2 linked regions of the Tribolium castaneum genome follow. The protein of the gene in region 1 binds, or shares a complex with, the protein of each later gene. Links are inferred from orthologs where the notes say so. Each region holds a gene or a part of one and is shown on either strand. Other genes may lie near its edges.

Evidence for each region.
Region 2: CSN7 (region 1) and CSN6 share a complex: the UniProt entries of both Drosophila melanogaster proteins name them as parts of the CSN complex. The link is inferred for Tribolium castaneum from reciprocal best matches to the Drosophila melanogaster genes CSN7 and CSN6.

Annotation. Positions count from the first base shown.
Region 1 is NC_087395.1:497,476-501,960, forward strand, and holds the start of CSN7 (COP9 signalosome complex subunit 7b), read left to right. Parts: upstream 1-1,555; 5' UTR 1,556-1,652; coding exon 1,653-1,817; intron 1,818-1,865; coding exon 1,866-2,030; intron 2,031-3,948; coding exon 3,949-4,257; intron 4,258-4,313; coding exon 4,314-4,484; 3' UTR 4,485-4,485. Other genes in the region: IQ domain-containing protein E-like, read right to left, coding at 1,084-1,245, 1,293-1,307. UniProt on the Drosophila melanogaster protein: Component of the COP9 signalosome complex (CSN), a complex involved in various cellular and developmental processes.
Region 2 is NC_087398.1:15,420,188-15,424,677, forward strand, and holds the start of CSN6 (COP9 signalosome complex subunit 6), read left to right. Parts: upstream 1-1,517; 5' UTR 1,518-1,603; coding exon 1,604-1,808; intron 1,809-1,859; coding exon 1,860-1,991; intron 1,992-4,145; coding exon 4,146-4,297; intron 4,298-4,348; coding exon 4,349-4,490. Other genes in the region: uncharacterized protein C9orf85 homolog, read left to right, coding at 684-1,244. UniProt on the Drosophila melanogaster protein: Component of the COP9 signalosome complex (CSN), a complex involved in various cellular and developmental processes.

The sequences.
Region 1 (4,485 bases):
CAAAGACAATCAAACTATTATGCTCGGTTTTGCTCTAATTACTTTTTGAGTTAGACTGTTTTTTTAACAAAAATAAAAAAATACATATACATATGAATATGTTTTTTTTTAACAATTGTTGCCTGAAAATGATAAAATTTTTCCGATTGTATTTTTGTTACTACAATGAATTTATCAGTAAAATAGATTTTTTTGACGAAAAAAAAATAAGTAAAATAAAAATAGAAATTTTTAAAACTTCTTTCCTTAAGACAATAAAATTTTTAAGTGTGATTTTATTACTACAATTAATTTATTAGTAAGACTTATCTTTTTTGATCCTAAAAATAAAAAAGAAAGAATAAAAATAAAGAATTCTTAACAGTTTTTATATCTTATATAATTATACTTTTTTAAGCTTAGTTTTTGTTCCAATTGATCGTCTTTTTTAGATACCGAAAATTAAAAAGAAAATCAAAATAAAAAATTAAATAAGAATTTTTAACAATTATTGCCAAAAAAAAATAATTTTAACGTTCGTTTTTTATAACCACAATTAGTTATCTGTAAGACAGCAAAATTAAAACAAAAGTAAAAAATAATTATGTGGAATTTTTTACAATTTTTAAGCTGGGCTTTTGTTACTTCAATTAATTTATTAGTATATTTAATATAACTGTTTTTTTTGGCTCCGAGAATTAAAAAAATAAAAATAAGGAATCTTTGACATTTCTTACCTAAGGATGGTTAAATTTTAAAGCTCGGTTTTTATTTACTATTTAATTTATCGGTATGATTTATTTGTTGCCTTATTTGACTATACTTATTTGAATAAATTTGTACAAGTTTTATAGACGCCAATTTGTTGTAATTTTAGCAAAACTTTTTATACATAAACCTAATAATAACAGCTAAATTTAATTGTTTTACCTTCAATTACTAAGAAAATCATTTATTTATTGTCATATAAGGATAAAATTACAAACAAATAGTGTCAATGATGTTTTGTGAAAAACTTAAAAGAAATAAAAGAACAAATTCTCCGAAAGAAAGCGAAACACTAAAATTGTTTAAAAACTTGAAACTTTTAATAGAGTTTTTTACCTTTTTTGGATCCAATATAGCATCAATTTGTTTATCCTTTTTAATAATTTCATTCTGCAATTTGCGTATTTTCACCTTTAGCATACGATTTTCGGTGCTAATGTTGGATAAATTTTTCTTCAGATGAAAAATTTCAGTCCGCAAATCTCCATCATCTTGTAACTAATAATACAAAGTATAAATAAACTAAAGTATAAATATTTTATTACCTCATTTCGAAACATTGTAGCCGAAGACGAAGTTACGTTTGTTTTGTTTGTAATTTAAGTATTGATCAAACAAATTTTACAATGTAATTAGCAACGGATTGCAGCAAACACAAACATAAATATAGCCGGGTTAAAAATATTATATAATTAAAACTATTGTATCTATTTTCTACTATTTCTTACTTTCTTTAATCAATGTTGTTAAATTTTAAACAAATTTAAATTTACCGCTTTATGTCAAAAGCTGCGCAGGCGCAATTATGTTTCTTTGACATTTGACAGCAGCGTGTGACAGCTGATCGGTTGTTGTGTTTAAAAAGTGCTTCAAAAACAACAAATTAACTAATAAAAACTAAAAAAATGGTTATTGAAAAAAATCCTTTCCCTGGCAATGCCTTGGAACAATTTGTTTTATTGTCAAAGTCAACAAAAGGGGCTGCTTGTTCCGAACTGATCAAGCAAGTGTTGGAAGCCCCCGGTGTTTACGTTTTTGGTGAATTACTTCACATGCAAAACATTGAAGAGGTAATCAAACATATTTTTACATTTATACATTAACTAAGTGTTTTGTAGTTGAGTAATACACCACAGAAAAATTTCTACAACACTCTCAACTTGTTTGCTTACGGAACCTACAAGGATTATCTAGCAAATAAGAAGGATTTAATTGAATTAAGCCCAGCTCAGAAGAAAAAGCTTCAACATTTAACCATTGTTACGTTGGCCACCAAATCAAAGGTAGTTAAAGTAATTCCACTTTAGTGAAATTAAGTTTTTAATATGGATAACTATAGATTAGGAAACGACACGACCTACAAATAAAAAGTCCTCGTTCTCGATAGTTTCGATAGTGTTGTGTAGATGGCGGAGCACATTATTGTATTAAAATTTATCAATGGTTTTAATAGCAGTTAGCACATGGTATCCAAAAAAAGCATGTTAATGCAGCTTTTGGCTATCATTTTTTATTAAAAAAAATACAAGTTATTGCAATTTGCGAATGTTTCGGCATAAAAATGTCATCAGCTCTTAATGATTTTGTTTAATCTAGTTTGTTTAAAAACAAAAAAATTGTTGGCGTTCTTTCCAAAGCACTCTTTGTAAAAATGCTTTTTTCTCCATTTTGATGAGCATTTAAGATTCGATTATATCATGTGATACATAGATGTAATCGGAAATGAAAACACTTCAAAAATACAAAAAGCAAATATGGCTTCCATAAGAAAAAACAAAATTTAGTGTTGTAACACTGACATCAAGAACGCCTTGGAAAATGGGACGACAGATTTAGATTTCTTGTAAAAATGTACCTAAAGAACGTTCTAGTTAAAAACGTCTAGTTCTTTTGGTTTTCACTCGAAAAAAATTAAAACCCAAATTTTAACCACCTCGTATCTCGTATAATAACTGAGATTCCCATGGTGGAGCTGAAAAAACGGCCACCCAGTACATTGTTTTGACTACTATAACAATCTAAAGATAATCGAGTATATTCCTAAAATTCATAAAAGGGACATAAATTTGTACCATGTTACATGTTCAAGTTAACAAAAAAAACAAATATAAAAAAATTAAAAAAAGATTTTTTAACCATTTTTGCCTAGCGATAATCAAACTTTTCTGCTCGGTTTTTGTTACTACAATGAATTTATCAGTATCTAATACGAGTGATTTTTTTGAAAGTGAAAACAAAAAAATTAAAAACATTTTAAGCTTCTTTTTGATCCAAAAACTAGAAATTTTTACCGTACTTTATAATAAATCTTCTAAAAAGTCTGCAATTTTTTTTTATTTTTTGTCAAAAATAATTAAACTATCGACAAATTTACGTCATTTTCAAGCATTTTTGCACAAAAACTATTCAGTTCAAAATTGTACTATTTTTTAACTTTGTAAAAAAGTTGCATTGCATTTTTCTCTACAACTTTTTTTTAATAGAACGACTCTATTTTCTTAACGGCAATGGAAAGAATATCGATATTTATGGTGACTTTTATCAATACGTCCTATACCAATCTCTTACAGTTTTTGAAAAAAATCACAAAAAACGGATTTTACTTGGTAGTTTTCATAGTTAATCAAGTATACCTTGCAAAATGGTCAACAATTATCAAACTTCAATTTTTTATTTAGTTTTTAGCTGTTTCATTATCGAATAATCAGTAAAATAATCACATTTAATTATAGTTTATTATAAGTTAGTGAATTATGTAAAGTAACTCAGTCAGTTTGCCATTGATCCTTGAACTTCTTGAATGAAAATGGTAAATAAATAGGACATTTCTTTTTGTTAACAGTACAATTTTATCGTATTTTTCAAAAGTTTACTTGATTAAAAATGAAAATAATGAGCTAAAATTCTGTTTTTTGCGATTATTTCAAATACTGTAAGAAATAGATATATAGAAGATGTTATTAAAAGTATGCATAAAAATTGATGTTCTTTTGATTGCTATTTAAAAAACTGGGTAATTCCATTTGAAAAACTGTTTTATAATCATTTTTTAATCATCATTTTCAACAAATCATACCTCTAGCTATGTTAGAAGTTAAAGTTTCTAATGTAGGCTCTAAAAGAATCAGCCTATCTACTAATTTAACAAAATTTGATTGATTTTTCTTAGAGCAAGTAATAATAAAAACAATGTTTTTTTAGTGTATTCCGTACAACACCCTTCTGGAAGAGCTAGGCATAACAAATGTTCGTGATTTGGAGGACTTAATAATTGAGGCGATTTACGCTGACATTATTCATGGAAAATTGGACCAGAAAAATAGTCAATTGGAGGTTGATTATGCCATAGGTCGTGATATTCGTCCTGAAGACATTAATGTAATTGTGAATTGTCTCCAAGACTGGTGTTCGGCCTGTGAAGGTGTTTTGGCTTGTGTTGAAACACAAATACATAGAGCAAATAATGAAAAAAATAAATCAATGTTGAGAAAAGCTGAAGTGGAGCAAGAGGTATTTTTTTCGAGTTTGTATCATTACTTTGTTTTAGATATGCATTTTTTTTGTAGATTAGTAACATTAAAAAGACTCTGAAAACTCAATTACAAGAACGCTCTGATGGAACTGACGAGGCTATGGCTACTGATAACAGGGAAGCTGCAGCAATTAGCGAAAAAGGAAAAAAGTCAACTAAAATCAAAGGTATAAGGCATAGCAGTAAGTTTTGGCTTAAATCTTAAT
Region 2 (4,490 bases), on another chromosome or scaffold:
GATTTTGCCGTTTTTTTAAGTATTTTAGCATGTACGGTTTTCTCTCGAAATTAAAACACAATAGTCAATAATAATTAGTTCCTTCAAAGATAGTGGTCAGTCAGTTAAAAATCCAAAATTTCGTTAAAAACTGTTTGAAAATATTTTTTTTGTAATTTGCCGCCCTTTTGATGTTTCAATGGGCATCTTAAAGCACGCAACGTTATCAAGAGCGATGTCATAATAAGATTAAGACTCGTCTTATAAAACTTGTTTTTAATGTACTATAAATTAGGTCAAAAATGATGTTAAATTTGCCTTTTTACAGTGTTTAAGCACGTTTTTGAAGTAAAAACAAAGTTTTTTCAACAGTAGCGCCAAACAAATAACAACTTTGTCAAAAATGAAGTTTTCAAACTAAATTGTCAGTTTTTTTGAGATTTATTTTATTTTATTATTCTTTTTGTCATTTTCGAGCGTTTTGCTAAAAACAAACAGAAAATGAGAAAGTTTTGCCGAACATATTTTAATTATTTTTGCCTTTTTTGATTTTTATTGGCGTGTTTATCTTTAGGTCATTCAACAATTCAATAAAGAGTTTGAAATTGAAATAGGCAAAGAAATCAATAAAAATGAGTTTTTTTAACAAAAAAATTGATTAAAGACATAAAAGCCCATTTAGCTACGTTTTCGTTCCAGAAAAAATGAGCACCCAAAAAGGTAACGCCCAAAGGAGTCGCTCCCAAAAACATCAAAACAAAACCGCCTTCAAAAACACCCTCCACGACACAAGTCAACGCACGAAAAACATTAACAACATCCAAATCAGCGACGTTTGTGTCCGTTGCAAGGAAATAATCGAGTGGAAAATAAAGTACAAAAAATACAAACCGCTCACACAGCCACGAAAATGTGTCAGATGTGATCAGAAAAACGTGAAGAAAGCGTATCATGTGATGTGTACAGACTGTGGAAAAAAATTTGGTGTTTGTACAAAATGTTGTGAAACGAAAGAAGTTATTACAACAAAACCGGACGAAAAGGAACAACTCAAACTGGACAACGAAATGAAGAATTTGCTACATACGCTTCCGGAACGCAAACGGAGGACGTTTTTGAGGTACATGAGCAAAAAAAGTGAGGAAGATTCGACGAATGACGAGGAGAGAAAGGAAGATTTGAAAAGCAAACTCAACGCGCTTAAGATTGACGATGACTTGGACGACTTCAGCGATTTTGATGACGTTGATTCGTCGGATGATTAAATTTTGTAATATATTGGTTGTAGAATTTAATTAAAATAATAAAATAAAAGAGCGAATATTTTTATTTGTTGCACCACGTTCTGTCAAAGCGATCTTATTTGTCATTTCGGTTAATTATCTTGTAATAAATTATATGCGTCCTACAGAAATAATGGAAGTGATGACGTTAATTCGTCTAATGAGTAAATTTAATTAGGTATTTGAATTTAATAAAATTTGAGGAATATGTTAATATGTTGCGTTTAAGTTTGGCGCCACTTGTGACATTGACATCTGTCAAAGGGTCAAAGCGCTGTCATTTGTCATTTTGTTAGCGGTGTTATTTATACATTTTGATTCAATTTCTTGTAATAATTAATATGAGTACGAAAGAATCAATGGAAATGGAAGTCGATAATCCGGCTTCTGCTGATGTTGCAAATAATCCGGCGGAAGATTCGGAAAAAAGTGTGATGGCAGCTGGGGCTGTCGGTTCTGTGACTTGTTCATTGCACCCTTTGGTGATAATGAATGTTTCTGAGCACTGGACACGTGAAAAGGCTCAAGAGGGCTCAGTCCAACGAGGTACGACACCATTTACAGTATAGTTAGTTATTTATAATGTTACATTTTAAGTGATTGGGGCTTTGATTGGTAAACAGAAGGGGCGAAACATTGAAATAATGAACTCATTTGAACTGGTATTTAGTGTAATTGGAGGGGATGTTATTATCGACAGGGATTATTACAACATGAAGGAAGAACAATGTAAGTATGTACCGTGTGGTCAACGGAATTTGTAATCACTAATCAGAGTAGGGAAGATTTTTTCTGTATGGTTGGTTGCGTTTGTTGTAATTGAGACTCATTTATTTCTTCAATTTCATTGAATAAGATCTGTTGTAAATTATAATGAAGTTTAGCCAGACTGCAAATTTTTTGTGGGAGGTAGGCAACGTTTAGGGTTACCATCAGATTTTTTTTAGCTTTGGACACCACAATAAAATGACTAACAACAATAACTTACATTCTTATATTATCGTATTATCGTATATAAAATACTCTGGTAATGGCATCTTATTACCTGACTTCTCGTTTGTATTAAGAATTTTTACTTAGTTTAATAAAAATAAATTTATTTTCAAATAAAATATTACAAAACCAAAAAAACATTGCCAATAGTTTTAATAGTATGTACTGATACAAGAAATATAACAAACAGCATTAGTATAAAAAATATTGTAGTAATAATATTGTACAGAGTGCTGTATTTTGGATGTCGGAATAGGAGATCTCCGAAACTAAGAGATTTAGAGAAAAACAAGTGACACATTCTTGGGTCCGTTTTTTGAGAATATAATCTTGGTCTAAACCGCATCTTGCTATCGTTTTTTGTTTTCGACTTATAAACAAAAGTTGACATTTTAGTGTCAACTTTATACAGAAAAAGCGAAATGTATTTTTTTTAATATTTAAAAAGAATGTATTACACATCAAATCAGAAAAAAATTAGCTTTACAAAAATATTACAGCCTCCTATAATTCATATTTAAAAAAATAAAACTTATTACAGCTAAACGAAAGGTTAAAAAAATCGCTGATAACATTTTTAAATTCTCTGTAAAAAGTGCTTGTATAATGTTTGTGTTTCAAATGTGTATCTTTTATAATAAGGAAGATATATATGATTTTTTTTAAGATTTCGTTAAAATGTCAAGTTCTGTTGATAAGTCGAAAACAAAAGATGATAGCGGGATGCGGTTGACCAAAATTATTTTTTAAAAAAACGGACCAGAAAATGTGTCACTTGTTTTTCTCTAAATCTCTTAGTTTTGGAGTTCCCCTATTCCGACATCTAAAATGCAGCAGCCTGTACAATGAGTGTTAGAATGATTCACATCTAATCATCTGTGAATTTCTCATGTAAAAGAACATATAACTAATGATAGGCATTTAGACATTGAATATTAACATTCTGTATTTATTATTTCAAAGTTAACTAGATGAGAATCATTTAAAAACACATTGTATAAACAGTAAACCACCTTTCTGCATCATTTTTTTTGCAAAACTATCCGGTATCCTGTTTGCAAAATGTAAATTCAATTTTTAGAAGTTGTATATCTACATTTTTCCAATTCACTCCAAGTTTTTTTTAATATTCAAAGTATTTGTTGGAAACAACTAGATAGTTTCGAATTCAGAAAAATTACAGATGGAATTAAGCGTTCTATCGCAGAGTTTTTAAAATTGGTCGTTAATTTTAATTTTAGATACAACAAAATTTAAATTACCCTAAGAAAACTGGACATTTATTACAAATTAACATTTGATCCGGATACCGGACATATCGTCTAATATCCGGATTGTATTGAGTGAAAACCGGACAGGTGGCAACTCTAACAAGGTTGCTATAAACTGTAAAGTATGGATACAGTAGCTGAAAATTTTATAAACAGTAAAGTTCATGTAAATGCGGAATAATATTTTTCTGACTCCTGTGAGTTCGCAGTAAAGCGATGGCAGTCCATTTACCGAATACGGTGTATATATTTTTTCATTTTTTTTTTTATTAATTTTTCTCAAGTTTTGCGCTTAGTTATGACAATTATTCGCCTTTCAAGTTAAGACCTTTGGTTTTTCTGGTTGTTAATTGTGAAATGCTGCTTTGCCATATAGCGGGAAATTTAAATGTAATTTTTTTGAAAAGGTACAAACGTTTTTTGTCTGTTTGACACTTTTAATAGATCTTTTATGGTACTCTAGCTGCCAAAATCAAATTTCGCAAGGGAGTGGTTCACCAGAGAGCGCAGAGATCTTGGCTTGAAAGGTGAATACAAATAATAAAAATAAGAAAACTACTCTTATTGTAAATTCAAACACTAGAAAACACAAAAATTGTTTGTTAACAATCTATTGCAGTCAAGCAGGTGTTCAGTGACATGGATTTCATTGGTTGGTACACCACCGGAGACATCCCCAACACCACTGACATTAAAATCCATAAGCAAATATGCGACATTAATGAATCTCCAATTTTGCTTAAATTAAATCCCTACGACAAAAACATTGATGTTCGTACACAGGCTGCATTTTAAGTGTTAGTTTTAACATAATTATTTTAGCATTTGCCGGTTGCTCTTTACGAGTCTGTAATTGATTTGATTGGGGGCGAAGCAACAATGTTATTTGTTAATTTGTCTTATACTCTGGCAACCGAAGAAGCAGAAAGAATTGGAGTAGATCATGTGGCGAGAATGTCTTCAA